2 linked regions of the Notamacropus eugenii genome follow. The protein of the gene in region 1 purifies or fractionates together with the protein of each later gene. This does not show direct contact. Links are inferred from orthologs where the notes say so. Each region holds a gene or a part of one and is shown in the gene's direction. Other genes may lie near its edges. The genes, in order: DET1 and COP1.

Region 1 (15,401 bases):
TATAATTTTTGTACATAGACAATGAAGGAATTTATTTTGCTTGATCATAAATATATGTTACCAGGAATTTTTTTCTTTTTTTTTCTTTTTCTCTAATGGGATGAATGGTGGAAGAGAAAGCAGATTTTTATTAATTTTTTTAAATAGAGAGGGGGTAGCTGCTACAGATGTGGCATGTTGCATGCACTTTAAAACAAGTTTTATTGGTATTTTCTATTTCTTACATCACCTTAGTTATCCCAAATATCCAATCTTCCCCTGCCCCCAGCCATCCCATGTTCTTGGCATGTACATTCAGATAAGGTCACTATATTTTCAGTTTAATTTAACTGTTTTTCATTGTTAGAAGAGACCTCTCAAGAAGTAGAAGTAATCTGTAAATATCTGTAATATGAAAACAAAAACACATCAACGAAACAAAATTAAAAGGGGAGGGGAGATAGATCTACTTAAAGTATAGGGTTTTATTTTCACAGGCTCCCATGACCCAGTCACCTAGGAGTTGGGGAAATACCACCAGGTCCTAAGAAAGGTGAGAGCAGCGCATCCCCTCTCTTCATCAGACTGAAAGACCTGGGGAGCTGCAGCCCCTTGTACCTGGAGACAAACATGACACCTGCTTCATATCCCTATCAATAGGCTTTATAGTCTAATAGAAAGAGTATTGCATTTGAAATTTTGGATCCTGGGTTCAAATCTTGGAACTTACTATTTGTCTGACCCTATATTAAATCACAACCATTGCTGATCTCAGTTTCCTCATCTGTAAAATGTGGGGCTTAGACTAGATTCTCTGTCTCTAAAGATCCTTCCTGCTCTTAAACTGTGTGATTGAATGAACATCCTACATCCCTCCTTGCCCCCATTTTAGAAGTTGGTCCTGGGTGTAATTAGTAGAAGATATATAACCTTTGCCTATACTACAGTGATAATAATGAATATTTGTTAACTGACTGGTTGATAGTATTGCACAGAGATGTCTGTGCATTCATAGAAAACTATGAATAGGAAGTTCAAAGGGTGGTAGGTAGGAGGGTCCTATGGTAACTAAGACCAAAAGAAATGCAAAGATGCTCGATCACTCCCAGGGAAAATATACACAATTTTTTCCTTAGAAATCATTTAGGCTGATAAAAGGTTTACTTTCCTGGCTTTTTCTTCCAATGATCCTAGAGTACCCTGGGGTCAGATGGGTTACCCATGGGGTTCTTAACCTTTTTATGTGTGTTAAGGAAACGGATACCAGTGGCAGTCTAGTGAAGGCAATAGATCTTTTCTTCATAATAATGTTTTTCAATGTAACAAATACAATGCGTACTATTACAAAGGAAACCAATTATATTGAAATATAGTTATCAAATATTTTTTAAAAGCTCATAGACCCCAAGTTAAGAACTTTCCCATTAAGGGTTCTTAAAAAGACATTTTGTTATTTGATGAACATTTATTAAGTACCTAATATGCATCCAGGTACTGTAGATTAATTTTGGGGGCTAGACCTGTGACTTCCTTCGACTAGAGATCTCTAAATGAGGAAAGTCTTGTTACTAATGCAGATCAGCACTTGCTTTTCAACGTATAGTCTTGGATAATTGCTGGGGTGCACTGAGAGGTTAAGTGATTTGCCTGGGGTCCCACAGCCTATGTGTGTCAGAGGTACTATTTAAATTTAGGTTTTCCTGACTTTATGGACAGCTTTCTATGCATGATGCCAGGGGTTCTTACCATAGGGTCCACAAAGAAGTCCTTGAATAGATTTCAGAGGATTAGTGAGCTTGGATGAGAAAACAAAATCTTTATTTTCACTAATGTTTGCTTTTCTTTATAATTCTAATTATTTTATTTTATGCATTAAAAAAAATCACACTCAGAAGGGGTCCACAGAGATCCACAGGGGTCCACCAGATGGCTAAGGGAGTCCATGACACAAAAAAAGAACACTCAATTATACTGCCTCTCAGGACCTGGAGATATAAGACAAAAATGAACCAGTCTCTGCACTCCAGGAGCATTGTTACTAATGGGTTTATTACTGGAATAAATGAGTGGCTTCTTGGGAGGTGGGAGTCTCTAGGCAGCTTCCTTAGGTTGATGATGCCCTGAGAAAGACATGTTTTGTCTGTATCTCTGCCCTAGCCATCTCTCAGACATTCAAACAGATATTGGTGTGCATAAATAAAACAAAAGACTATTTTCTATGGCAAAGTTTATTAAGCACAATTTTTATTAAACAACATTCATTATTAAAATTAATAGGTACATATACCTCCTTAGTATACTTTTTTATCATGATTATATGGAATTGTATTTTTTATTATGATCATATGAAATTGTATGCCTTGTATCATTTTTATATGTTGTAGGCAGTCTGTCATTATATATAATACTGTATGCAGACATATGAAATTCTTCAGGTCAACATCCCCTGCATTGACATGTTACCTTAGTTTGTCTATTTCAGAACCAGTTAGTAGTTTTATTGCTCTCTGTTTGGTATTTGAACCCTGCTCAATGTTTAGAAACTGTGTCTCTCTCTGCTTAAAAAGTGCTCCCTTTGTGTGTTACTTTCCATTAGGAGTTTTGAACTTTTGCTAAAATACATGGGGCTTGATTTATCACAATGTAAATGCTTTATTGGTAAGTTCCCCCCCTAGAATGTAAGCTTCTTGTGGGTAGGGATTGTTTCATTCTTTATATACTATAACCCAATGCACAGGGCCTGGAATATGAGGAATATAATAAATGCTTGTAGATTGATTAACTTTTAAATATCAGGTATACTCCACTACCTATCTACCCTACTCCACTCCCAAATCCTGAATGTGTAAAACCTGAGTGGGAACTCTAAGCAGCGTTACTTTTCAGGATATACTTATAGTCCCAGACCTTTACAAGTGTCTGGGGATTTAGATGGAGTTTCACAACAGAATCAGGCCAGTAATGCATAGGTTTCTACTCACACAAAAAGAAGCTCAAAGCCCCAGATAGAATACCCAGGAGCAAGACAAAGCAGAAAGAATACAACCTGAGTGGTCTGAAGAACTCCCAGGCAGCTTGATTTTGGGGAGAGTTACTCTTTCAGAGAAACAGTCCCTCAGACTCATCATATCTATCTCCACCAATCTCCAACTGACTCCTAGCCAGTTCAGGATGTCAGAATGTCAGTCATCACTGAAGTCAGAGTCAGAAAGACTGGTCTTCAAATCCTAGCTTAAATATTTACTGGGTGACTGAGTAAACTATGGAGTTTTTTTGAGCCTTGGTTTCCTGAGCCACATAGTGGAGATTATACTAGCATCTGCCTTACTGGGTTGTTGTAACAGCTGTTGGACCAATTTTTAGTGGGGATCTAAACTACTGTACCCCATAAGGTCTTCAGCACAACCCCACTCAACCATGACGTTAGTCAAATAGTTGCTACATTCTACTTTAGACCCTCACTAAGCATGCTGTCTGTCATGCAGCTGTGACATAAGAATCAAACGTAAGCGAGTAGCAAAAAGCTAAAGAAATTTGAACTATTTGTACCAAGGTAGCTCCCTGTGGTAGCTGAAAGCCATAGGCTTTATAAGAAGAGACAGTTTCTGGAGGGCAAGTCTGATTGGTTTCCTATCTCTGACATCCCAGGCAAGGATGCACTATGTGTTAATTAATATAAGAGGTCCGGTCTGAACCAACTAGGACAGAAAAAGTGGGCATCTCCAGTAATCAGATTGAATCTACCCTCTAAGTAGAAGTTATCTTCGTGGCCTTATGGATCTCAGAAAGAACTACTCCATATACAGATATTTCCTTTCAAAGAATATAGGGATACATCCTATATTTAGACCAAAATAGAATCTCAGGGCCGTAGAGGGCATAATTTTCTGGAATTTAAAATAGACTTACTTATCAAAATATAACCCTTGAATCAGAGCTTCTTCCAAGACAAGAAAGAAACTTTAAAGGGATTTCTCAAATCTCTGGCTCATGGCCACTACCTAGAGATTTTGAGATATTCACTAAATGACACCAACCATTATGTTGTTATCAGTTCCCCTCATAAGCATAAGCATAAGCATATAGTACACAACACTCAAAGATGGAAAAATATATTTACATGGACAAGAAAACAAATTGAACCCTTTGTGAATAGGTAACAAATCAACACCTGCAAATGAACAGCCCCTTCCCCAGTGACCTGTACAGACTCAGTCCCTTATAGTCATGAACTAGGCATAGAACCTGTCTTCATTCCACTGCTGCGCTCTGAAATTCCCAGCCACCAGGATCAGGGATCACTCTTCCTGTTGCTCTCCAGAAAGGTGCTGGTCACCACAGCTCCTGTAATTTTCCATGTCTCCTGGCAGATACTGAACATATCAGATAGCTCCTTTTCTGAGGGTCAGGAGTGGGGCAATAAGAGAGAAGCTTCATTTTGTTCCAGTCTCAATGAGGCTCTTGAAAGTCTCTCTTGTGGCAGATTCACAGCTCAAATACAAGGCAGACTAAGTAGTCACTAGTGACTGAAGCTTTAATTTTTAAATTTTCACTATGGTTATGATAGTCCTGGCTTTACAATGAAACTTGCCCGGCAGTCAGGAACATAAACCCTCCCTTCTCACCTTTGAATGGGTTTCTGTTATTGATATGGGGTTAGTTCAGGGCAAAATTTATTCTGATATCATGTATTCTCCAGTTTAGGGCATTGTGTTCACTGCCTACAGATTAGCATTGCCCACTAGTAGAGAAGTTTGGTTAACTGGATGGATTATTCCAAGTACTTTTGATTGTTTCCTGCCTTATTTAGAGCAAGGAGGTGAGTGATGGAGGTGAAGTACCACTTTTCGCCCCTCCCCCCTCTAGTGTTGCTGTATATTAGGGAGATGGCTTCTACTACAAAAAGTAACATTAAAAACCTCTGTCTCAGATATGTTGTACCCTTGGCAGCTGCCTACCTTCCCATATTCTAATTCTAACTATGCTAATTTCCCAGCCACTGGGCATTCAGGTTGTGTCTAGTATACAAAGTCAAGTGCAAGTCATGTCATTATTTCTCTGATGGCATGGTCTTCTTCAGCAACGAAGGAGGAACACACACACACACACACACACACACACACACACACACACAGTATTTTGCTACTATGTATAATACAGCTAAATAGAGAGTTAGCTTTAGAGTCAGAGAGACCTCCGAAACATAATGACTTTATAACCGAGAACAAGGAAGGTATTTAACCTCATAGTGAAGCAGGCAGCTCTCTAAGAGAATAAATTTCACAGGAGTCACTGATCTACATTAGTGTAGGAAATTCCCCCAACCTATGAAATTATAGGTCTGGATCATACGACCTCTATAAGGAACTTTGTCCCAATATTACCCCCCCCCTTAAGTGTTTCATTGGAATATAGTCTCAATAATGAGATTACTGGAGCAACGAGCACCATCCAGTCTTAGATGTTTTGTTTCTTACTACCAGATTGCTTTATAGAAATATTGCCCTACTTTATATTTCAAGAGGTAACTATTTCCCTACACACCTACCAACAATTTTGTTTACTTTTTCCATTTGAATATGTGTAGGTTAATGGACTAATGTTCATTGATAAAAGAGGAAACACAACTAGTAAATATTATCTGTTTATAGCCTTTAAACATTGAGGTAAAGACTTCAAAGTCAGATTCATTAGCTAAGATCATAACATAACTTGAGATCATAACAACATAAGGTTTTTGGAAGAGACCTTAGAGTCCATCAAATATATTCATCTTACTCTGAAGATGAGGAAACTGAGGATCAGACAGTGATGTGATTTGATAGCCCAAGGTCTCGTACTGATTAGCAACAGAACCAGAACTAGAAAATGTGTTTTCTGTCCTTTACAGAAATAAGAATAGTGGCAGGGACAGGATCTGCGATTTTACTGCTATAAAGATCTCCTGTATGTGGTAACTTTTTGTACTATTTCAGTCAGTCTTAGGGAATTACCTAGAATATTGCGAGATTAAGTGACTTGTCAGGAGTCAGAGAGCTAGTGCGTGTCAGAAGCATTGCTCTGAGAGTAAGGTCTTCATCTACTATGCCACAACTGTCTCTGCAGAAATATGGAGACAAATAATTGAACTGAGACGCAGTGCTCACGATTGGACTATGCAATTTAATAAAAAGACAATAGTACCTAAAATAACTTGTAGTTTAGTGCTATACCACACTACCCAGAGAATACTTTCTAGAACTAGACAAAATAATAATAAGTTCATTTGGAGGGACAAAAGGTCTAAAATTTCAAAAAAAAAAAAGGAAAAATAAGAATGAAGAAGGTATAGCATTATCTTTGATGCTAGTGGTCATCAAAATTATTTGGTACTAGCTTTAAAAAAAATAAACCAGAACAGTAGACTAGTGGAACTTACTAGATAAACAAGTATCAGAAGCAATCCAGCACAGTAGCCCTGTATTCTATAACCACAAGAACATAAACTACCAGGGGATGCATTCCCTAGTCTCCAAGAACTACTGTGAAAAGTGGAAATTAGTTTGGCAGAAAAAGGGTCTCTGGAACTTTAGTAGCTGTGATTACTGAGGAAGCAGGGGCTGCAGCCCCTGCAGAGGAAGTTGCCAGGTTGCCAGTCTCCACATTGGTTGACCCCTTCTTTGATGGCTTACAGGGCCAGTTTGGAAACAGTGGTCTTTAGGGGTTGGGGAGAGGGACTTGGGGAGACTACTGTTCTAGGGCTCTTGGGTTTACCAGCTGGATAGCAGTTGATAGTGATGGATATGATGGCCCCTTTTCCCACAAGGGCTGCCCCGCTAGATGATCAGACTGGGCAGACAGACTGGAAAGGGACAGTAGGGGAGAGTATTCATTTTTTAGGAGTCCTTAGGTGAAGTGTCTTGACCTGTCTCCACTGGGATCTGAGGGAAGGAGATGCTTCAGGTGACAGCTATGGTTTGGTTTGACTGGCAAGTTCCATCTCTAGTCTCTTCCTCAGGTTACTTTGCAGGCTTGATAAATCCACGACTTTTGACAATTGTGGGCTGGGGTGGTTAGAGAAATGGGCATCTGGGTGGTACAGTGAATAGACTACCAGACCTGGAATTAGGAAGATTCATCTTACTGACTTCAAATCTGCCATCAGATTTGACTTACTAACTGTGTGACCCTGAACAAGTCACTTAACCTATTTCCCTCACTCTCCTTATCTGTAAAATGATCTTGAAAAGGAAAATGGCAGACCACTCCAGTAACTCTGCCAAGAAAACCCACAAAGAGTCATATACAACTGAAACAATCGAACAACTAAAATATGGTCAGATAAAGCTATGATAGAGGAAAGAAGTTTGAACTAGACTGTTTCCATATTTGTCTTTCTATCCACAGCACATAATAAAGTGATTAGCATATAGTAAGCACTTCGCCTATTTTTATTAATTGAAACATGGTGAGTGTTTAAGAACCAGTGAACAGACCATTCAGGCTAAATCTGAAAGTTCTTTCATCTATGAGATCAGTAGACTATAAGACTGAGGAGTCTAGAGACTAGGAAGGGCTCAGAAGTTTCCATTTTATCCTAGTAAGCAATGGTAGCCATTAAATGATGGCTACCTTCAAGTTGTATCTTAAAGAGATTGATCTGGCCAAGAGGAAACTCTTGATCAAATGGATCTCTGATCTCATTGATTTGGAAGCCTTTCTCTATTCAGATTGCAATCCATTCATGCTTGACCATTTTGTATGACTTGCTCATGTCTTGCAAAAAATTCACCACAGAAGACCCCCCTATGATGCTGGAGGTCTTTCTTTTTAACATTGGGAAGGTAATAGTGGACTACTCCAGATATGTAGCCATAATCCCACATGACATATAACCAGCCCATCTGATTTTCCTGGCATTTTTATTCTTGGTCTTCTTCCAAGTTCATCATTGGTCATATATTATAGCTTGCTCACAGCCACTGTACTTTTCTCTATTTTCCTCTATGTGATTGTCATTTTTAACTCCAGAGAAGAATAATGTTACAAGAAATATGTTACTACTATGTTTCAAATCTAATAGATACTTAGCAATATCCAGAGGATATTTATAATGCAACCTATGAGGTTTGTCCACAAATATGTATACCTGAGACAGACAATACTGACTGACAAGTTGGGCAGAGTTGAACAGGAGGACCACGAGCTGATTTCCTTCAGGAAATTACAAAGTTACTTTAATGACCCAGGTTCCCATGAAAGCCAAGGGCCATGCTTTACTTTTAAAATTAAACATATATTTTAAAATTCATTTTTATTTTATTATACACAATTTATTTTGCTTCATTATTTTATTATATTTTCAGTTCTGAATTCTCTCTCCCCTCCCCCGACAATCACCCATCTCTTAAATATCAGCAGGCTCTGGGCATTGCTACATTGTAACAAGACATGGAATTGAACGGTGTCTGAAGAATCAAAACAATGAATGTCATACAGAGGGTAATTAATGACGGGTGATGAGGGGGTTAGGGTTGGAATCCTGGCTCCACTAGCAGTGTGACCCCCCTCCTCTGGGCCTCAGTTTTCTCATCTGTAAAATGAAAAGGCGTGCTTCAGCTCCGCTCCATCATCCTGTGCCCCCAGGAGCAGCAAACAGGCAACGGGAACGGCTGCTAAGGAGGGAGTCAATTTCAGCAGGCGTGGTCGCTTAGAGCTCAGGCGGGCTCACCTCACCTCCGGACGCCAGGGGGCGCGCTCGCTCTTGCCGGGCAGGCGATGGTGCGCTCTCTGCGCACGCTTCCAACTCTATGGCCCTCACTTCCGTGGGCCGGCTGAGGGAGGGGGGTGGGGGGGAACGGGGCCATCCCGGCCGTTGTCGCCGGGTGCCGGCGTCAGTGGCAACATGGCGGTGGCGGCGGCGGCCGTGGCGGCCGTCGGAGTGCGGCCAGCGCAGCCCGGGGATCCCCTCGCCCCGGCCTCATGAGCCCGGCGCGACGGGGGGCGCGGGACGGACGGGTGAGGACGCTCCCCTTCTCCCGCTTCGTCGGCTCTCTGGTCCTCGGGCCTTCCTCTCGGCCAGCGGCCCCCTCCTGCCGGCCGGGCCGCCCGGACCCTGGGCCGCGCTCCTCCCCGGCCTCCCTCCCCCGGACCCCCGCGCCCCGAGGTTTAACCGAGCCCCAGCCCAGCTGCCCCTGAAAGTCGTGCTCCCCGCGGGCTGGCCTCCCCCTTCTGGCGGAGCCTCAGGGCTTAGAGCGGGAAGGGCCCTCGGAGGTCAGCCGGGCGTAAGGGCCGGGGCCCGGGGCCCAGCCCCGGCCTTGCCTGGCTTTGTGCCCCGCACCACGGTGTTCCCGGACTCCACCCACTCCCCGCTTTCCGTAACCTTTGCCGCCGGCTCTCTCCTCTTCTTGGGGAAATGGGGAGAGACTGCCCTTAAACCAACTCCTCTATGGTTAAGTCTGGAAAAGATAGATAAGAGAGGCAGGGAGATGTCATGGAAAGAGAAGCCGATTGGGAGGCAGAAGAGCTAGGTTCATACCCGTGCAAAGTGCCTCATTCCCCTCAGGACCTTAGTTTTTTTTTTAGTCTATGAAAAGGAAAGGGTTTGATTAGATCAGGGTTTGCCAGTCTGGGGTGGAAGTACCCCGCCCCCCCGGGGTGTGAGCCTCTCGTTGAGGGGTTTGAGGGAATAAGTGGTAAATATCTTGGCTTTTTTATTGAAATAGTCCAAAAGTAGTGGTATTAGTGATTATTTTATGATACTAAAAGTGTTACACGCTGAATAAAGTGTTCTGTATGAAAAACGAGTCTCTTTATTTCTTACATGCTCTTGCATGGTAAACTCTAGAATATCTCCTTTCATATTGAAACTGAAAGGTTTCCTTAAAGCCAAAGAATATCACGAATGAAAAAGGTTGAGAAGCTTCTTATTCTAGATGATCTGAGGTTTTGTTTTTGTCTTAAACTATCTCTGAATCCTATGATCCAGTGAATTGAGTTCCAGAGTCTTAGTAATTTAGAAAACCAGCATGGGGGGGAGAGTTTTAATCAGAAGCCAGGGGCCTCTTCCCACCACTCCAACATCCTTTTTGAGGGGTTGAATGCTGTTGGGGGGAGGCGGCAGTAGGACATTGCGGAAAAAAATGGAAGAAGCACAGTATGAAAACAAGAGGTTTATGAAACTGTTTCTGAACTTTCATCTTGGCTTAATTTTGAGTGATTCTCTTAGAGTAGAAGAGCAGCATAAAAGGGGGTAGAGTGGGGGAGAAACCAAACTCTTGTCATGGTCTTTAAATCAAATAGTGTTTTGCATGTAATAATTCCTAGTATAGTTCTTCATAAATAGTAAGTGCTTAATCACCAGCATTTATCAAGCATTTATTGTAGTCCAAGTACTATGCATAGTAAATGTCTTCAAATGAAGTTAAATTTGAATTAATGCTTCTTAAATCATTCTTTAAAAGTCTATGCTCTACATTGGGGCTACTGATAATGTTAAGGTGAGAGCAGTACTTTAAAATGACTTCATATGTTTTAGGGAAGGGAATTCTTAACTGGGAATTCTTACTCTGAATTCACATATTCTGGTGATTCAGATGTTTTTGATGGAAACACATTATAGCTAAGCGTTCTTGAGATATTTCTAGTGTGTTAAGCTCTTCCCATTATTCTCATGCTGAGGACAGACTTGAAGTTTACTCTTGTTTCCTTGTGACCTAAAGGTGGAAGATTTTAGGTAAACCCTGAGATGATGTGTGTTTGGAAAGGGAACTTGGGTTTTTGGTTTGTTTGTTTGTTTTTTTTTCATTTTATGTGTGACACTCTGCTCTTAATCATCCAGAAATAAGATGCTGTGATGATGGATCATGATGTTCCAACAATCAAACCTCGAAGAATCCAGAACCAAAATGTTATCCACCGCTTGGAGCGTCGGCGCATCAGTTCAGGCAAGGCTGGTACCCACTGGCACCAGGTTCGAGTGTTCCACCAGAACGTCTTCCCCAACTTTACTGTGGTTAATGTGGAGAAGCCACCTTGCTTCCTGCGAAAATTTTCACCTGATGGGCGCTACTTTATTGCCTTTTCTTCAGACCAGACATCACTGGAGATTTACGAGTACCAGGGCTGCCAAGCAGCAGAGGACCTACTGCAGGGTTATGAGGGTGAAATTTTGGCTAATGGCAATGACCAGAGGTCAGTCAACATCCGAGGCCGACTCTTTGAACGCTTCTTCGTCTTGTTGCATATCACCAATGTTGCGGCTAATGGTGAACACCTAAATCGTGAGTGTAGCCTCTTCACAGATGACTGCCGTTGTGTCATTGTGGGTTCAGCTGCCTACCTCCCTGAAGAGCCTCATCCTCCTTTTTATGAAGTTTATCGCAACAGTGAGTCAGTGACACCAAATCCCCGCTCCCCTTTGGAGGACTATTCCCTTCATATCATTGATCTTCACACTGGCAGGTTGTGTGACACCCGCACATTCAAATGTGATAAAGTGATCTTGTCCCACAATCAAGGGCTATACTTATATAAGAACATACTAGCCATTCTTTCAGTACAGCAGCAGACCATTCATGTCTTCCAAGTCACTCCTGAGGGCACCTTTATTGATGTCCGTACCATTGGTCGATTCTGCTATGAGGATGACCTGCTCACCCTGTCAGCTGTCTACCCTGAGGTACAGCGAGACAGCCAAACAGGCATGGCCAACCCCTACAAGGAGCCTTTCATTAATTCCCTAAAGCACCGGCTACTGGTATACTTGTGGCGCCGGGCAGAGCAGGATGGTAGTGCCATGGCCAAGAGGCGCTTCTTCCAGTATTTTGACCAGCTACGACAGTTGCGCATGTGGAAGATGCAGCTTCTAGATGAAAATCACCTCTTTATCAAGTACACTAGTGAGGATGTAGTGACACTACGGGTCACAGACCCATCACAGGTATTGGATGATATTCAGCCATATTGAGAGACTGAGAATGAGGGACCATACATATTTGCTGTAGGATCTTAGAATCCTAGCTCTAGCCCTGGAAAGAACTCAAAAGATGGTCTAGTCCAGCCTCTCTCACTTTACAAATGAAGAAATTAAAGCCCAGGGAAGTTAAATGATTTGCATAAAGTCACATAGGTGATGAGCACCAGGGGTGGGATTTGAATCCAGGTTCTATGACTCCTGAATGTGTTCTTTCCGTTATGTCTGCATTTGCCTGTTTTTGCATTGCTAGCTCAAGGGACCTGGCATAGTCTTAAATTTTGTTTACCTTTGGTTTTACAAAAGCCAAAATCAAGTTTATATTTTTCTAGCTCTATTTATTTCCTTGAGTGGATTAGATAATGTTTAGAAATTCCTTTTCCTTCCCAAGATTCTGGGAGATCTCTATAATGCAGATACATGCTAAAACTCTGTCCTTTTGAGATTTTCTTGGATATGTGTCTCATTTCATTTTGATGCGTCTGGGGTGATTGTATTTTCAGGGTTCTCCGGAGAAAGGCCAAAAATTTATTAGCAGTAAAGCTTCTGCTACCCATGGATAATTTGTCCACCTTGAGTGATTTAGCTCTACTAATGGGGACAGACTACCAGGGTAAAAAGAAATGTTCCAATAATTGGAAATCTCATTTTCACAATTCAGTAATTAAAATGTCAGCTCCCTCACTAGACTTTTCCATAAAGCAATTAATAAACATAATTTGGTTACTTTGAGTTTCACCTCTTTTTACAGAGTTTGCCCCCATGCTAAAAGAGGGACTACTGAACATTGAAAAAAATCAAAACAAGTAAATGAAGTGCTTCACGATTCACAAGCTCTTTTATTTTGAATAATCTGGACTGTATGTGAAAGGGCCACTACATTGCTAATCTTTTCTCATATTAAGTAAAATTGATATCTAGCTTCTTGCCTATTCAGTTTTGGTGAAAACTGGCTTATTCACTGTTTTGAATGTGCTTATAGGAAGAAGAGAGCTCTCAAAGATCAGTGAGATCAGTTAAGTTTTAAGAGTACCCAAGGACCTAGGAAATAATTTATTTGAAATTTGATCTTGGAGTAGACTGCCTTTCTTCTTGGAATTTGCCTTTTTTGAATTTGACAGATGGAGAATTCAGCTCGCCTGATGTCTGTGCTATTTGCCTTCCTAGTGTTATATCATTTCATAAATAGTTCTGACCCTTTTGTCCATAGCAGGGAAAAAAACTATATATTCAGACCAATGATCTGGAGTGTAAGTTCTTAACGATTTTGGGTCTTGAACTCCTCTGGCAGGCAGATGAATGCTGTGGACTCCTTCTCAGAGTAATGTTTTTAAATACATAAAATAAGATGCACAGGATTATAAAGGGAACCAGTTATATTAAAATAGTGTGATCTAATTTTTTAAAGTTCATAGATTCTAACTTAAGAACTCCTAGCTCTAGATCTTCTTGTTGACCACGTTTCACTACTGGAGGTCTTTGTAGGACTCAAAAAAGCTTATTAGCTAGCTTATGGAAAAATAATTTCAATCTCCTTCCTTTGAGAGTAGTGGATTATTTGTTCTATAAAAAGATTCAGTTGTTAGTGGAAACTATCATGATCATCCCAGAAATCTATTTTCTTCCCCATAGTTATCTGTTGGTGAGCCCATTGAATCATTATTAGTGAACACTTATCTTTTAGAATACAGTGCTCAAAAGATTTGCTACACAGTCCTTTGCTCCTTGAACCCTGTCTGTCTTTACTTTTCTGAAAACCTTAGCTGAAGAAAACCCTGTTGCATATTCATGTAATTCATGTAATAATCACTTAACATGCATAGCTAAATTCCCTTTTTTCCTATAATATCTTTGTAAAACAACAAAATCAGAGAGCTGAACCAGATTTGTAGAAAAGATACATATAAGACAAGATGTGAAGCAAGAAAACCCATTATTTAGGTTTGGGTGATAATTTTCATTTTGGTGATAAATTGCCAAATCATATTCATCACAATCGAATTATCCTTTGATCCTTAGCTAAAACACCCCCTCCCCTTTTTTTTTTCTGGACTGATATGGAATAATCATGGCTTGAGAAATTAGGATGCTAGGGTACAGTTCTTTTTCTACATAATTTGTGACCTCAGCCTGAAACTTCTGTGCCTACTTCCTGTAAAATCAATCACTTTCTGTGGATATTATGAAGATGAATGAGTAAAAAGTACATTTAAATAAGGAGCCTTGGGGTAGTATTTAGGAAATTGGTCTCAGATTGCTACTCAGTTTCTTTACATTATAGGCAGATTAAATATCTTGGCTATACTAAATGTCACATTGTAGCATGAACTATTTGCATCAGGAATGGGTAATGGAGATTCAGATCCAACCCAAGTAAAAAATACTTAATGTCTGATAACTTTATCTTCCTCTATGAAACCAAAAGATGATTTTTAGTTTGGCATTCCATTGACCTTGGAAAAATCCTGGGGCTCTCTTATTGTCAGACTGATCAGAGCAAACTAAAGAACAGTTTGAAAGAATTGGACATCCAGGTGCCCACTCTGAAAAAGTCTGAACTCCCAACTTGCTCTGGGTACTTCCACCTGTGGCATTTGAATGAGCTTCAGGTCCTTCTGCTTCTTTGTCTCCCATCACTGCTCTGCCCTCCCTCTTTCCCCCCCATGGTTCTAATTGCTCTAAATCCCACATGGATAATACAGATGCTTTTGGCCAAAAGAGCATCTGTCAAGAAAGAAACAGTAAATGCCTCTCTGGATTTTCATTTGTCCAGCAGCAGGATGCTGCTGGGACACAACTTTCTGAGGCAGTTTCAAAACACAATGCATTTAAGGTGCCTCTCTGCATGTTGGAAATGTTAAGAGGAAAAATAGATGCCAAAAAATGAACCTTCAACTGTACATACACAGGAGAAAATAATCTGTCAGCAGCCAACCCTGGGCTGTAAATCACTTCCCCAGCAGGAAATAAAATTAAATCTGGCACTTTAAAAACTGACTTTTTTCATCTCAGGGTGGGTTGGGGAGCAGAGAAAGAAGAAACAGTTGGAGAGGGAAATTGAAGCACACAGTTTGAAATGAAAGATTGAAAGCCTTTTTTTTTTTTTAAACTGGCCAACTTGATAATTTCAGCAACACAATTACAGTGGGGAATGTGGCATCGTAGAGGCATTTGACTGATAAAGTCAATGGAGGCTCCCTGAGGCACCTGGAGCCATGGGACCTGTTTCCCCATTGACCCATACAGTAGGAACATTTTCTTGTTTCTCTTGAGTAGCTTGAATTTTTAGCCCAATGTGAAGGGTCATCCTAGCCATGGGTTTTACTCAGCTGGCTAACAGTTACATGTGTTCCCCCTTTCCAGCCTTCCTTCTTTGTTGTGTACAATATGGTGACGACAGAGGTGATAGCAGTATTTGAGAATACCTCGGATGAATTGCTGGAGCTCTTTGAGAATTTCTGTGACCTCT
Region 2 (15,231 bases), on another chromosome or scaffold:
AGCATTTTGAGGGCAGGCATTTTCATTTTTAAAAAAATAGAATTTATAATGTCTAGCATAATGCTAGCATGTTAATGCTTATTGATGCAGGGACTGATTGGGCTTCTGAAGAAAAAAAGGCATATATACACATATTTATATCTATACATGTATGTATATATAGGTATATACACATATAGGCATATATGAGTATATACCTATGTATGTATGTGTGTATATTATATATACTCACACACATATATGTACATATATATGTATACATGTATATATATATACACATATGTGTGTGTGTATATATATACACATGTGTAGATAGATATTTGAGGAAGTGGTTTCATCCCTTTTGAACTCAGTAGAGTGATAGATCTATCTATGTGTAGTCAGAGACCTGGTGCTACTACTTCTCTGTAAAATATCTATTTAGATCATTGTGGGTCACATCAATGTCCACCAGAAAGATGTCTCATGAGAAGTCTAGTTTTGGTAACAGAGATACTCCAGGAGAAGTATTGTATACTGCTGTGTGATCTTAGGCAAGTCACCTTAGGCAAGCTCACTTTCTGAGCCTCTTAGGACTAAATGATCTCCAAGGGCTCTTCCAGTTCCACACACAATAGTCCTGTAGGATTGGTATTCAGCTTCAAAAAATCGGTTGCACTCTCCTTCCTCTCATACCCTTCCCACCCCCGACTCATCTCTTATTCTTAGTTATAAAGAGTAGCCCTCTGGGACAGGGAAGATGTAGGATGCATTGGGAATTCTAAGTGATATAAAAACAAAATTTCTTCCATTCTCATATGTATATGTATGTATATGTGTGTGTATCTGTATATACTACATAAATTGTTCTGAATACAAGGGTTTTTTGTTTTGTTTAATTCACAAACTTTCAATTCAGTTTAACAAATATTAAGTGCCTCCCACATGCCAGATACTATTCTAGGTTCTGGGGAAACAAGTCATGAAGAGAGCTTCCCTCTTTGCTTCGAGCCAACAATGTATGCAAGCTCAGGTCTTGGGCGTTTGGGGGACGGCAAACTCCCCTTTTTTTTTTTTTTGCTAGCTACATGTGATTTGGCACTGAACTTTCTTTTGAGATGATGAAGCAATCCCTTTATTAGCTACTGAGCAGGAAGAGTCAATGAGTCTGGACCTTTGAAAAGGGAGTGTCTGATCCTGTTTCCCTCTTCTATTAACCCTCCAGGTGGCATCATATAATTCCGAGCAGAGATATGGGAGGCAGCTACATGGCACAGTGGAAAGAGTGCTAGTTCTAGAGTCAGGAAAATCTTAGTTCACATCTGACTCCAAGTAGTTATTGGCTGTGTGACCCTGGGCAAGTCATTTAACTACTGTTGGCCTCAGTTGCTTCATCTGTGCAATAGGCATAATAATAACACTGACTTCTCAGGGTTGTTGTAAGGTTCAAATGAGATAGTATTTGTAAAGCTTTTTGCAAAGTGCTATATAAGTGCTAATTTTTATTACTATCACTGTTGTTGAAGCTGTAGCACTTGTCCTGCCTAAGTGAGCTTGAGATAGGTTCTCAGAGCCCTAGACGACTCTTCTGTTTTGTGTTTCTTTCCTGAGGTGAGGACAGGTGAATGAACATTGATATTGAGATGGAAATGTCTAGACTTGGAGGTGACCTTTTGAATTTAAGAGATCACTTATGAGTTTAAGAGATTCTGGGTCCATTGGATGGAACTGACTGATAGGGAAATTGTTGCATCAGTCAAGACGACCACTGACAGGAGGAGAAACCAAAACTCTGTCTTGGCTGGCAAGTAGAGATAGACTTTGAAGGAACGGTACAGAACTGAGGATAAATATAATAATGCTTTTTCTTAATATGCAAAGTGCTTTATATTCTGATGAAGTTTAAATATAAATTTCCTAGGAGAATAACTTCAGTGAAATTCCTGAATCTTGTTTTAAGTCTTTCTGTTAACGTATGCTTTATATTTGAGATTTTGCATTTTACTTGTTGTAGATAATAAATACCTGTCCTATACCTGATTCATATTTTACTTTGAGTTCTTTTCTCCAGATCTCTTTGGAGAAGGCCTAGACATGAGCCAAACTTAAGCTTTAAGTAAATCTTCCCCATGGCATTGAATTGGGAGTTTTCCTAGCTGAAGATTATGAGAAAAGAAGCTTCACTTCTTTCATTAGAGGCTAGACTCCCACAAGACTGAACGTAGGCCAGAGTGCACATGTGGGTTGAGAGCATATTGGGTCCCTTGATGGAGAGGGTGCAGTAACTCAACCCCTAGGCCTCAGCAGTGATTTTAATTATTACATGAAGAAATAAACATCTATCTCATGCCTGATTTACATTGGACATTGAATATTTTTCTGCTCCACTCTTTGGGGAGTCCCTAGAGATGAGTCAAACTTGAGCTTTAAGTAATTGATCCCAGGGAACCAGAGTTGAGATTTAATGAGTCAAAGAGTTGAGAAAAGGGAGCCTAACTCCTTTCATTGGTCCAGGATCCCTCAGGACTGAACCCAATCCAACTGAGTGCTTGGCTCTAGAGGTGGAGAGGGAGAGGAAAAAAATACCTTGAGTCCCTTGGGCCTAGCAGAGGGTTTTAATTGTTAAAAAAGAAAAAAAAAAACCCAGCCCTTGTCCTCAAATGCTAATATTCTAGTGGCCAGTTAAATGGACTTGAAGTCAGAATATCAGAACTCCTAGTTCAAGTGGTTCTGTCATTTACTAGATAAGGGACCTTGAACAAATTAATTAATCTCCCTAAGATGAGGTTGCTTCATCTATAAAATGGGAATAGTGCTTATACTGCACAGCTCAGTCATTGTTAGAATCCAGTGATTTCATATGTAGAGGGAGCCCCATGTGTGGCAAGGGCCCACATATAGTAAGGGAGTGTTGTCCCGTGGCTTGAAGGGAGGCAGAATAAACACCTTTGGTCTATTCTCTCCCAGCCTTTCATTAAGGGAGACTTTAATTTCTGACAGCAAGGAAGGAGGAAGTTAGGCCCAGAGGTCACCACTCTGGTTTCCTCAGAAAGAGTTGGTATGGAGATAAAATTTTATCTGTCTGCTCTCTTAAATATTGTTAGTCTAGGGGATACAATCAGTTTTAAACTAACTTCTGATTACTGGGGAGAAATAGGACTCTCAAGGCTTGACCCATTTCCCACCAAATACCAGTTCTACAATGAACATCCACAGCAAACAGCAAAAAAACCCCCAATTTATCTAAATTATAACAAAACAGAAATCACCAAAAGTATACACAGGAGAACATATACCAGACAACATGTAGCGAAGGCACTCTCCTACTGGGAGTAATATAACTCAGCTCAACTAAGAGAGAGAATTCTGGATCTCACCCAAGGAGAAACTCTGAAGTTGCTAGGGTAGCAAGCTAGGGATAGGGACATGATAGAGTCTGCGAGCTCCTCTCAAGTTTTCCCAGAGTTTTTTCTCATCAATCTTGAGTATAGTTGGTCTCTTCCATTTTCCTTCTCAAAGCTGGAAGACAGAGCATGCAAAGTAAGGGGAAGCTTTGAGAATCCCAAAGAAGATTGGATGAGAGAGAGCTCTTAATGTTACCTTGTAGGGTTGGGTATTCATCTCCCCCAATAAGGACTCTGTGCTTCAAGCAATGGACTTTGGGACTGCATGCATTCATGCTTCACACTTTGATAACCTTAGAACACTGAAAAGAATAGATGAGGGCCATTATTAAAAGACTTGTGATTTAATCATACATGGCACAAGATTCATTATAGTGTACTATCTTTTGTTTTTGGAACATTTTTTCATTTTTTTTTGTTCTTATTGAATCTATTCTCATATACCTCTTTTATTTCACCCTCTACTCTCCTTATTCCTCCTTTCTTGTTGTGTTTCTGAGTTCCTTTTTTGTACTTTCCTGTTTAGTGACTCTGAGGTTTTCCCTTCTGCTTTCTCACATTTCAAAATCTGCTTTCATGTTGAAAAACTTTTGCCAACAAAAATAATAAGAATTATGTAGCACTAAATTCTTTGTACATTTTTCCAGCTGAAAAGGAAGATGGGGTTGTATCCCATTCACTCATTTCCTTTGAGATCTTAATTCTGAATGAATGAAGATGGCATTTGAATAAGCATTGATAAGGACAATGACAAATTTCCTTAAATGTATTAGTTGGTCCCTTGTTGCTTTCCTTCACAATAATTATACTTACAATTTTCCAATTACAGGCCAGGGAATATATCAAATTTAATATGTCAAATTATGTTCCATGAATCATGACTTCAGGGAATATGTCAAATTATGTCCTGTTAATCATGACTCTAAAAGGAGAGATTTAGAAATGATCTCTAAGGCCTTCCCAATCTTAAATTCTATTACCTTATGAACCTTTCCTGTTCTTCATCTCTAGCACTAGTCTTTTTTATTTGTTTTGAACTTCATCCTCTTTGCTAGGCAGCATGACTTGTATCCTCACCTTGTCACTTTTAACTTCACTCAATCTGTTTAAGTTAAAGTTATCATTTCCCCTCTAACTAGTTCTCTACTTTGGAATTTCATTTCTGTTAAAGGTACCATTATTCTCCCAGTTATGTGAATTTGAAACCTTGGGAGTAATTTTTTACTTCTCCTTATTTCTCCCCCACTATCCAATTAGTTACTAAATTTTCCTTGATTTGTTTCTCTCCTTAAAGTCTGTTTAATTGACTAGACCCCTTTTAATTGTATATTCACTGTCAAGACCCCTAGCCTCCTATGGTAATTGTCTCCTACCAGCTTTCTCTGCCTTCAATTCTTTCCACCTTTCCCCCCATCCTCATCTATTCTACAACCAATTGTCAATATTTTTAATACGTTGTTTATCTTTGCCCTTTTTTGATACCTTCCCCCTAGCTATCCCCCACTACTGTCATGTTTAGAAGATAAATTAAAACTGCTTAGTCTGTCATTCAAGGGCTTCCACAGTATGGCCTTTTTCTATCTCTTCAGCTTTAAAATGAATCCTCTACTATTGTCAAAATTGTCACTACTGCTCTTTGAAACACCATGCACAATCTCAATTTTGTACAATCTTAGCTAGATTTTTCTTTCTCCTTTTCCTCATTTATCTAAGTCTCCTACTTTCTTCAAGGTCCAACTCAAATCTCACCTTCTCCCAGAAGAGGTAACTGCCTGGTATGGATGTCCTTTATGCCTTTCACTTGCTTCCACATACCATGTGAACCAGTGATGCCAGCTTCCCTGCAGTTCCTTGAACGACACCCCATTTCTCTGCTTTCAGTGTTGTCATTGTCCCTCATGTCTAGAACTCTCTCCTTCATCTCCTTCTGGATTCCTTCAAGTCTCATCTGAAGACCCATTTTCTGCAGGAAGCCTTTTTCTATTTCATTTAATGGTTATGCTTTCAAACCTTGATTATCTCCAATTTATCCTAAGTCTTGTAATTCACTTATTTACTGGCATATTGTCTCCCCATTAGACTTGAGAGTAGGGACTGTCTTTTATCTTTCTTTGCATCCCCACTGCTTAGTACAGTGCCTGGCACACAGAAGGCATTTAATAAATACTAGCTGAATTGACTGGACTGTGTGAAAATGTATGCAACATTCCACGCCTAGAGTGGGCACTAAATGCTAGCTGACTGTCCCAGTTACTTCTTTGTACAACTCATTTGATGGCTCCTTCTCCTTCTTCTCATGTATCCTTACATATATCAAGTTCCTTGAAGGAAAAGCTTTTTATTCCCAATATCCAGCATGTTGCCTTAGGTCTATAATAACTTTTCAATAAAATATTAGCTGAGGATACTTAGATTTAGTTTTATATTCAACTTAATTAGCATTAATTTATATTTGACTTATAAAATATCCACTGTATTTTCTATAAAACAAACTTTTGTTCAAGAAACTGCTTTTTAGCAGTACTAAAGTTTCATCTCAAAATTTAAGGATTTTATACAATTAGATCCATTTATGGTGCTGGTGTTAAAAGATTATATTAACCAAACCACTTCACAGCTTAAGGGTTCTTAGCCTTGTGTATGTATGTGCATGTGTATGTGTATGTGTGATGGATACCCTTTGGAAGTCTGGGGAAAGGTAAGGACCTCTTCTCAAAATGTTTTAAATGCATAAAGTTACAAAGGAAGGCAATTATAATGAAATAAGTGGTCAAAATAGTAATTAAACCAATCTATGAACCTTCTGGAATCTATATATTAACCTCATGTTAAGAACTGATGTAGTTGCCAAAGGTTTCACTTTTTTAGAGCAGACTGGTATGATTCCATCAGTGGCATATGTAAATTTGTCGATGATGACAAGCAGCTATATTTTAATTTCATAATATTTTTCTTTGTAGTTAAGGTGGTATTTAGGTATTTTTGAGATTCTGAAAGAATATGGCTGGTATTTCGTTACTCCTGAATGCTGGGGTTAATCCGTAATCCTTGGGTTTGGCTCAATAAGTAGGTAGTAGGTTGGGCAGGTGTGTCCGAAGATATTGGGTGTTACCTTTGTAACAATGTAGTTTCCATAAAGGCAGTCCAGATGACTGCCTGGGTTGCTGGGCCTTCCCACTCATGCCCAACCAAGGCCTCACCTCTCCTGAAATTTGCTTTTCCTAGGGCAAGCACCTAGAGGACTCTTAAGGTCTTCCACAAACTTTGAACAGGGTTCGTTAAAAACTGAAAACTCTATTTAGAGGATCAAAGAAAAGTTGGCCTTGAAAAGGATCTAGCCCAATTCCCTCGTTTAGCAGATGATAAAAATGAGGTCCATCCAGAGAAGCGAGGTGAGAGGCTTGGTCAATAAACATTTATTAAATACCCCCTCTGGGGTAGGCAACTGCCTACCAACCCCTGTTTTCCTGAAGTTTATACTGTAATGGAGGGGACAACATATCAATAAATTTATGCAAACAAGCAACATAAAGGATAAATTGGAGATAATCCACAGGAGGAAGGGAGTAGAATTAAGGGGAAATCAGGAAAGGCTTCCTGTAGAAAGTTCTTTGGGGACTTGAAGGGATTCAGGGAAGCCCGGAGGCGCAGAGGAGGATGCAGAGGTGTGGACTGGAGTGCAGGTCTTCTAATTGCCAGCTCCACCATAGATGTGAGTGGAACTGAAATTGCACCCTCTCCACCACTGAAGGCATCTTTGGCTCTGTACCGAGTCTCGCTTTCTCCGCTGGAACATTCCGCCCGCTTTCATCAGCTAACTTTCCTTTTTGACTCTCGGTCCTTGCCCTCCTCCTCCTCCTCCTCCTCCCCCCTCTCCTCCCTCAGGAATGCTTGGGAATCCTGCGCACGCGCAGTGTCGGAAACCACCCCGTACCACAGACTCCCCTCTAGGTCTCCTCACTCTTAGGAATGAGGATATGCTCGGTTCGTAATGCGCTTGCGCAATCGTTGGCCGATTCGCTTGCCTGGGCTCGGGCACTGTGGACCACTCTCTACTCTGGGCGCTTCTCTTCTCCCCGCCCCTTGCTCACTGCCCTCCTACCCCGGCCCCACTTCCAGTTTCTGCTGTACGTCGTGAATCAATAAAGCTTTCAACAAGGAATTCTTCCGTAGCTAGGCAGTGGTCGCCGCCGCCATGGGTGTGTGTTGTGTGTATGAGCGCGGAGGCTGCTGCCAATAAAGTTGTACCTCTCGGGCTTCCTCCGCCCTCCCCATTCTCTCGGCCTCCGTCTAGAGTGCGCGTGCGCACGCTCTCGCCGGCCTCGCTCGGGGTTGGCTGCCGCAGGACTCGGGGTGGGAGCTGCGGCCTCGAGAGCGCATTTTTCCCCCTCCCTCCCCCTCCCGGTGTTCGAGTTGCCCGGCTTCCTCCCGCGGGCCGCCGTTTGTGTTCGGTTTTTTTTAAACAACTTTATTGTTCCCTCCCCGGTGGCAGCCCCCGCCCCCTGCGCTGTGCGCGTCCTCAGGATGCACTGAAGCTGCAGGGAGGCGGCGGCGGCGGCGGGTCCCGGTCCCCGGTCCCTCGTTCTCTCCTCCGAGTACCCAGCCCGGGGAAGGGGGGGTTACGATGTCCGGCAGCCGCCAGGCTGGTCCCGGCGCTGCCGGGACAGGGCCCAGCTCCTCCGCGGCCTCCTCAGTCACTTCCGCCTCGTCGTCGTCGTCCTCGTCGTCGTCGTCGCCGTCGCCCCCGTCCCTAACGGCGGTGGTGGCCGCGGCGGGGTCCAGCGGGGCCGCCGGCTCGGGGGGCCTCGGGGCCGCCGTACGGCCTCTGCTAGTGGCCGCCGCCGTGTCGGGCTCGGGCGGCGGAGGAGGCGGGGGCGGCGGGGCCCTGGCCGCGGGCCTCTCCCGGCTTGGGGGCTCCGCCAGGCCCGGGAGCGCCGTCAGCGGCGGCGGGGGCAGCTCGGGCGGCGGCAGCAGGAAGCGGCCTCTGCACACCCCACTCTGCAACGGGCTCATCAACTCGTACGAGGACAAAAGCAACGACTTCGTCTGGTGCGTGGAGAAGCATCCCTCCTCCTCTTCCCCTTCTCTCGCTGGGATGGGTGGGATCGGCGGGGAGCAGGTGATGCCCAGCGGTCCGGGGGCCCTCCCTGGGGGGCAGCCCTGGTGGGTGGCGAGTTACACCGGGAGGGCAGAAGAAGGATTAAGAGGAAGGAGTGAGGAAGTCAGAGCTCCCAGTTCAGCAAGTACCAGGCGTAGGAGCTCCCAGACTTGTTGAATGGAATTGAAGTGTGGGAGGGCGTCTCTGGTGAAGTTTGAGAGTGAGGATGGAGGCCCTTGGAATGGCAGTGAACTCTTTGGGCAACCTTAAGTTTATGGAGGGGATGGTGACTAGAGAGAATGCGTTGGAATTGCTCTAAGTGAAAGGGATATGGAGTGCCGTTAGACTGAACTTTCTGAAAGTAGACTATTTTTTTGCTGTTATTTGTATCCCCAGTGCTTAACAACAGTGCCCGGGAATATCCGCGATGCTTCATAAATGGTAACTGAGTGACTGATTGATTACCTGTAGATGGGCTAAGCATTGTTTAAGCTATACACAAATGTACAGGATCTATCACTACTCACTATTAACTCATATTCATCGTCTGTGTACAGTGAATCTTGCCAGTGAGACTATTAGCGTATTTGAAGTCAATGAAAAACTATCTTTTAATGTCTTAGGTGTATTTCAGTGTACCACATATATTGTACATGATGTTAAACACAGTTTGTAGCACTTTAAGATTTATCATAAAGTGTTTATTAAGCATCTAGGTGCGAGGGCCTGTGCTAAGCATTGGAGGTGAAGTGTAAAAAAAAAAAAAACAAACCTGAAAGAAACTGTTTCTGTCCTCATGGAGCTTATGTCTAATGGGGAGATGTGCACATGCCCATATTCAAGTATGCACGAAACAAACTGAAAGTGGTTTTTGTAGGGAGAGAAATAGTGGTTAGGGAGAATCAGGAAAGGCACACAGAAAATGATACTGAGTGGAGTCTTAAAGGATTCCAGGTATTTCAAGAGATGGAAGTAAGAGAGTGCACTGCAAGCACTGAGAGATGGAGCTTCATCATATGTGAAGAGCAGCAAATAGGCCAGCTTGAGTTCTTGAAGAAGAGTAAAAGTGTAAGAAGACTGGGAAGGTAGAAAAGATGATACCAAAACCTTTTGAGTTTAGTAGTATAAGAAGTAGTATTACCATTTTGCACAAGAGGGAACTGAGGCTCACATGGGTGAAATGATTCACCCACTGTCCATCAGCCAGTAATCATGAGAACTGTGATAAGAAACCAGATTCTGATTCCAGTCCAGTGTGGCTTGAGGCGACTGTTGGCACAGGGAGTAGAGGGCTGGGCCTAGACTCAGGAAGCCCTGAGTTCAAATCTAGCCACAGACACTAGCTGTGTGTCACTTAACCTGTTTGTCTCAGTTGCCTCTACGGTAAAATGGAGGTAATAACAAGCACCTACCTCTCGGTTACCCACCTCAATCCTGTCAGGATTGTTGTGATGATCAAATGAGATAATATTTGTAAAAAAGTACTTAGGATAGAAGAACATAGTAGGTTCTTTATAAATACTTATCCCTCTTGCCTTCTCCACTGTATATAAGTTATTAGAGGTTGGATGGTTGTGATTCAAATTATCTGTGGCAATTAATAGCCATGGTTGTTGGTTTTTTTGGGGGGAGGGGCATGGGGCAGTTGGGCTTCACCCCCAAAGAGAAGTGATTGTTACATAAAGAGCAGTTTGGAATTTGGGATTCTCTTCAGTGTCTGTAGTTTTGATACAATGATAACTAAAGTTGTCTAGATTGATGATTGTCGTGGAATTTGGAGGTTGATTTTAATGACTTACATTTGTATAATCACGTGTATAACAATGATCCTTCTACTGATGCAGATTGCAGTCATTTATATCTTAGTAGACTGCCTTCATGAGTTGCTGTAGCTGACAATAATAATAACCAGCCTTGTGGGGATGAGCCTCCCGATTTTGACAGGCTGGTTTTTTGTCTCCAGATTGGTAGTTGAAGCATTTACAATTTAATAGGACCTGCCAAAGCCTGTTCTTCTTTAGCCTAACCTTAAAAAACCCAGTCACCTCCATACCATGAAAAGTAGGACAGAGGAGGAAGTGAATGAGGCTGCTGGAATTCAGATGGGCTGGGTGATTTGGCCGATGTCACATGACTAGTTAGCTTCGGAGGTGAGACTTGACTCTCTCTTTCCTTCAACATTTATTAAGCACCTTTCGTAAGCCGGGTATTATAGACCTTTGGTGTAATACAAAGTAAAAAAAAAAATGAAACAGTGATCAGAGGACTAAGGACTTGGAGAGAATGATACAAAGTTTTAAGTTAGTTACTGTTTCGGTTCTCATGGAATTTACAACCCAATCCTGCAAGCATTTATTAAGTGTCTATTCTGTGCAAGGAGCTTGGGATACAAAGATAAAATGAAAAAATGAGATAAGACACAGACATAGCATCTGTTGACACTATCACTCTCCTCCTTGATACTCTCTTGTCTCTAGGTTTTCTAGACACCCCTCTCTCCTGGTTCTTCTCTCTGACCAACTCCTCAGCCTCCTTTGTTGGATCCTCCTCCAGATCATGTCCTTTAACTGTAGGTGTACTCCCAAGGTGCTCTCCTGGGCCCTCTTCTCTTCTCCCTATGTACTACTTCACTTGGTGATTTCACTAGTTTTCATGGATTTAATTACCATCTCTGCGCTGATGATTCTCCCATCTACTTATCCTACCCTAATCTTTCTGCTGACCTCCAGTCTCAAATCTCCAAATGCCTTTCAGATGTCTTGAACTGAATGTCTTATGAATACCCTAAACTCAATATATCCAAACCAGAACTCATTATCTTTCTCTTTTACATCACCCCACCCCCACTTCTGCTTTCCGTAGTATTGTAGAGGACAATACCATCTTCCTTATTCCTAGTCCCTCAGACTCACAACCTAGGAATCATCCTGGACTCCTAATTCTCTCCTCCTACACCCCACCCCAGTCTTTTTTCCCCTCAGCACTATCATATCTGTTGTCAAGGCCTGTTGATTTCACCTTTGCAACATCTCTTGAATACACCCCCTTTTCTTCTTTGACACTGCCACCATTCTAGTACAGGCCCTAATCACCTTATGGTTAGGTCATTTCAGTAGCCTTCTGGTGGGTCTGTCAGCCTCAAGTCTCTCCCTATTGCAGTCCATCTTTCATTCAGTCACCAAAGTGATTTTCCTAAAGCTCAAGTGCAATGAACCATGTCACTCCAATATTCAGTGAATTCCAGTGGCTCCCTGGTTGCCTTCAGGATCAAATACAAAAGTCTCTGTTCGGCTTCAAAGCCTTTTATAACCTAGTCTCTTTCTACCTTTTCAGTTTTCTTACATTTTACTTCTTGATATGTACTCTTTGATCCAGTGACAGTGGCTTCTTGGCTGTTCCATGAATAAGACACTCCATCTCTGGGCTGTAGATATTTTCTCTGAATATCCCCCATTCCTGAAATGCTTTCCCTCCTCTGCCCTGATCACTGACCTTCCTGGCTTTCTTTAAGTCCCAACTAAAATCTTATCTTTTATTGCAGGTCTTCCCCCATCCCTTAATTCTAGTGCTTTCCCCTCTGTTAAGTATTTCTTATTTATCCTGTATATAGCTTGCTTTATATGTATTTGTTTGCATGTTGGCTTCTCCATTATATTGTAAATTCCTTGAGAACAAGGATTGTCTTTTGCCTCTTTTTGTATCCCCAGTGTTTAGCATAGCAAATAGTAAGTGCTTACTAAGTGTTTATTGATTGATTGAAGTGCATTACAGAGTTGAAAATCAAAGTCATGCCATGTCTGACATGACTAATAAAAGTTTGGGGTAGAAGAGAGAATCAGGGAAAACTTATTGCAGGTTTTCTTAACTCAATCATAGGATTAGAGCAAAAAGGAACCTTAGTGATAATTACTGTAATGATAGCTGACATTTATGTATTAATTTAAAGTTTACCAATTGCTTTACATATGTTACCCTTTAAGCCTTATCTTAATCTGTGAAGTAGGTATTGCAAGAGATAGTATTATTTCCATTATGTAGATGAGAAACCTGAGTGTCAGAGAAAATGATTTGGTCATTGTCACACAGCTAGTAATTGGAATCCAGGTATTCTTTAGTCCAAGTCTCCACTTGTCTCCACTATTCTTTCTGTCTTATAGCTCCTCTAGTGAAATTTAATGATTACTCCATGATACAGCTAGTAGCAGCATCTAGACTTGAACCTTGGTCTTTTGATTCCGAATTCATTGCTTTTTCTCCTACAATGGGCTGCTTTCAAAATGAAGTCATTTTTCCCTGCCTGGGAATTGAACCCTGATTGCATTGAGATCATAACATATGAGCAGTTGGTTGTAAAAAGACAGTGGAGACATGATTACTCTCTAGGTATTGGGAGGGATATGGAAGTAGAGAGGTTAACCTTAGTAAGGCATAAGCCAAGTCTTTATATGAGTCAGGGGTAAAGGAGGAGATGGTGGTAGAAGGCATATGAGTGATATGAGATGAGGAAGAGGGGATGATGAATGGCTTCAATTTTTTCTGTAAAATATGAGGCAAGTTTCTCAGCTGAGAGGGTGGGGGAAATGAGAGCCATGGGAAGTTTGAGGAGGGATGAAGAAATTTGAAAGAGCCACTGTAGAGAGTAGCGTAGTGAGTTCAAATTGAACTTGATACTTCTGATAGGGCCAGGATAGATGGATGGATGAACTAAGCATTTATTAAGTGCCTACTCTAAGTCATACTGTGCTGAACCTTTTAGAAGTATCTCATTTGATCTCACAACAACCCTTTGAGGTAGGTACTAATATTATCACCATTTTACAGTTGAGGAAACTGAGGCAGATAGAGTTTGACTTGCTCAGAGTCATACAGCTGGTAAATATCTAAAGCCAAATTTGAACTTAGATTTTCCTGACCCCATTCCCAGCAATCTATTCATCATGTTATCTGACTGCCTCCTGGTGTCTAGGGACAGTTTTATGGATTGGAAAATGTTACTGGTTTTGGCCGTTGGAATAAAGGTAATTCCTGCTGATAATTTCATTCATTTCTATTTTATCAGCTTTCACTGATGTGTGAAACCACCTTGAGCCTTGAGTGAATTGATACTTTCATTTTGATATTTTCATTGTACCCTTTTTAAAGGGTACAGTACTCTTCTCTTGAATACTAGATAAATTTTAAATGATGTTAATCAGAATTTCATTAAGTGACAGATATGTTACCAATTACAGGGCAGAGAGAAAATGCTACCTAAAGCTGAAGGTAATGTATGCAGTATTACTGTATACCAAAATTGAGACAAACATTTAAGATAGTTTGTACTTTTCATTGTATTACTTATTTGCATTTTGATCATGTGCCATAGTGAAAACTCTAGATCTACAGTGAAAAGATTTCTGTAGAATTCCTGGGTTTGTCAGTAGCTGTGGACAAATAAATCACTTACTATCTCAGAGCCTCAGTTTCCTTATCCATAAAATAAGGATGATAATCTGTACCATCTATCTCATAGAGTTGTTGGGAGGTAAACCATCTATGTATAAACTGTGATTGCCATGTGTTAAAATTATTTTCACATTTCATCTAGAGGTCTTAATGTCAGTGAGAAATAATTTAAATTATGTTTTATAGATATGACATCTGAGATACAGAAGAGAGATTTGTTTAATTCAGAGTTATATTACAATTACTTAGCATAAAAGTAATAAAACAATAATTTATATTTAGCGAGGAAGCATGTAGTATATGTAATAAAGGACTGATTTCAGAATCAGGATCACTTGGGTTCAGATCTCTTACCATCTGCTGTCTTTGTTCCTATGCATGTGCTGCTAAACAAAGCTGGAGAAAATTTTTTACCAAACTATACTGACTGGATCCACTACAAGTTTATGTTACCTAATCTCAGCTGAGCCCTTGCTCCAGCAAGGCAATCCTTTTATGCTTCCTTAATTGACTTACCATCTTACTCATGATGACTTCCAAACCTTTTCATTGCTCCTCACACTTTACATGACTACTCTTCACCTTATTCTTTCAGCTGAGAATTTTGCTATGTATTTCACTGAAAAAACTGAAGCCATTAATGGAGCACCCCTTTTTCCTTTCTTTCCTCATATCACTCAAAATGTCTTCTGGTACTATTGCTTCCTTCACTGCTATCTCACATGAAGAGTGCTCTTTCTCCTTGCCAAAGCATACCCCTCTATACACACAAGGCCCATCCCATCTTCTTTAACATATTGCCACCTATATCATTTCAACTCACTAATCTTCTGTTTCTTCCTGTCTCTTGGCTGCCTCCCTACTGCCTACAAATATGCCTATGTTTTTGCATTTATCTCTCCTCTTGTCTTAAATCTGACCTTCCTTTTGTGGCTAAACTTCATGAGAAGTTGGTCTACAATTAGTACCTTTACTTCCTTTATTCTCACTCTTTTTTTAACTGCAGCCTAATTTTCAGTCTCATCATTCAATTGAAACTGCTTTATCCATAGATAATAATCTCTTCATTACCGAATCTAATGACCCTTTCTCATTCTTCATCCTTCTTCACCTTCCTTTAATCTTTGACACTTGATCATCTTCTCTTTGTTGTTCTCTTCTGTCTAGATTTTCATCACATCATTCTCTCCTGTTCTCTTATGTAGGGGACCACTCCTTCTTATTCTCCTTTTCTGGATCTTCATCCAGGTTGTGTCTTGTGGATGTCCCCCGAGTTTCTGTCATGGGCTCGCTTCTCCCTCTATA

Evidence for each region.
Region 2: the proteins of DET1 (region 1) and COP1 purify together in Homo sapiens (affinity purification with western blotting; 11 studies listed by BioGRID and IntAct, counting the BioPlex papers as one, with this or other methods). This does not show direct contact. The link is inferred for Notamacropus eugenii from reciprocal best matches to the Homo sapiens genes DET1 and COP1.

What each region holds. Positions count from the first base shown.
Region 1 is NC_092872.1:168,072,931-168,088,331, reverse strand, and holds the start of DET1 (DET1 homolog), read left to right. Parts: upstream 1-8,784; 5' UTR 8,785-8,976; intron 8,977-10,798; 5' UTR 10,799-10,813; coding exon 10,814-11,899; intron 11,900-15,295; coding exon 15,296-15,401. UniProt on the Homo sapiens protein: Component of the E3 ubiquitin ligase DCX DET1-COP1 complex, which is required for ubiquitination and subsequent degradation of target proteins. The complex is involved in JUN ubiquitination and degradation.
Region 2 is NC_092873.1:470,076,605-470,091,835, forward strand, and holds the start of COP1 (E3 ubiquitin-protein ligase COP1), read left to right. Parts: upstream 1-7,856; 5' UTR 7,857-8,007; coding exon 8,008-8,432; intron 8,433-15,231. UniProt on the Homo sapiens protein: E3 ubiquitin-protein ligase that mediates ubiquitination and subsequent proteasomal degradation of target proteins.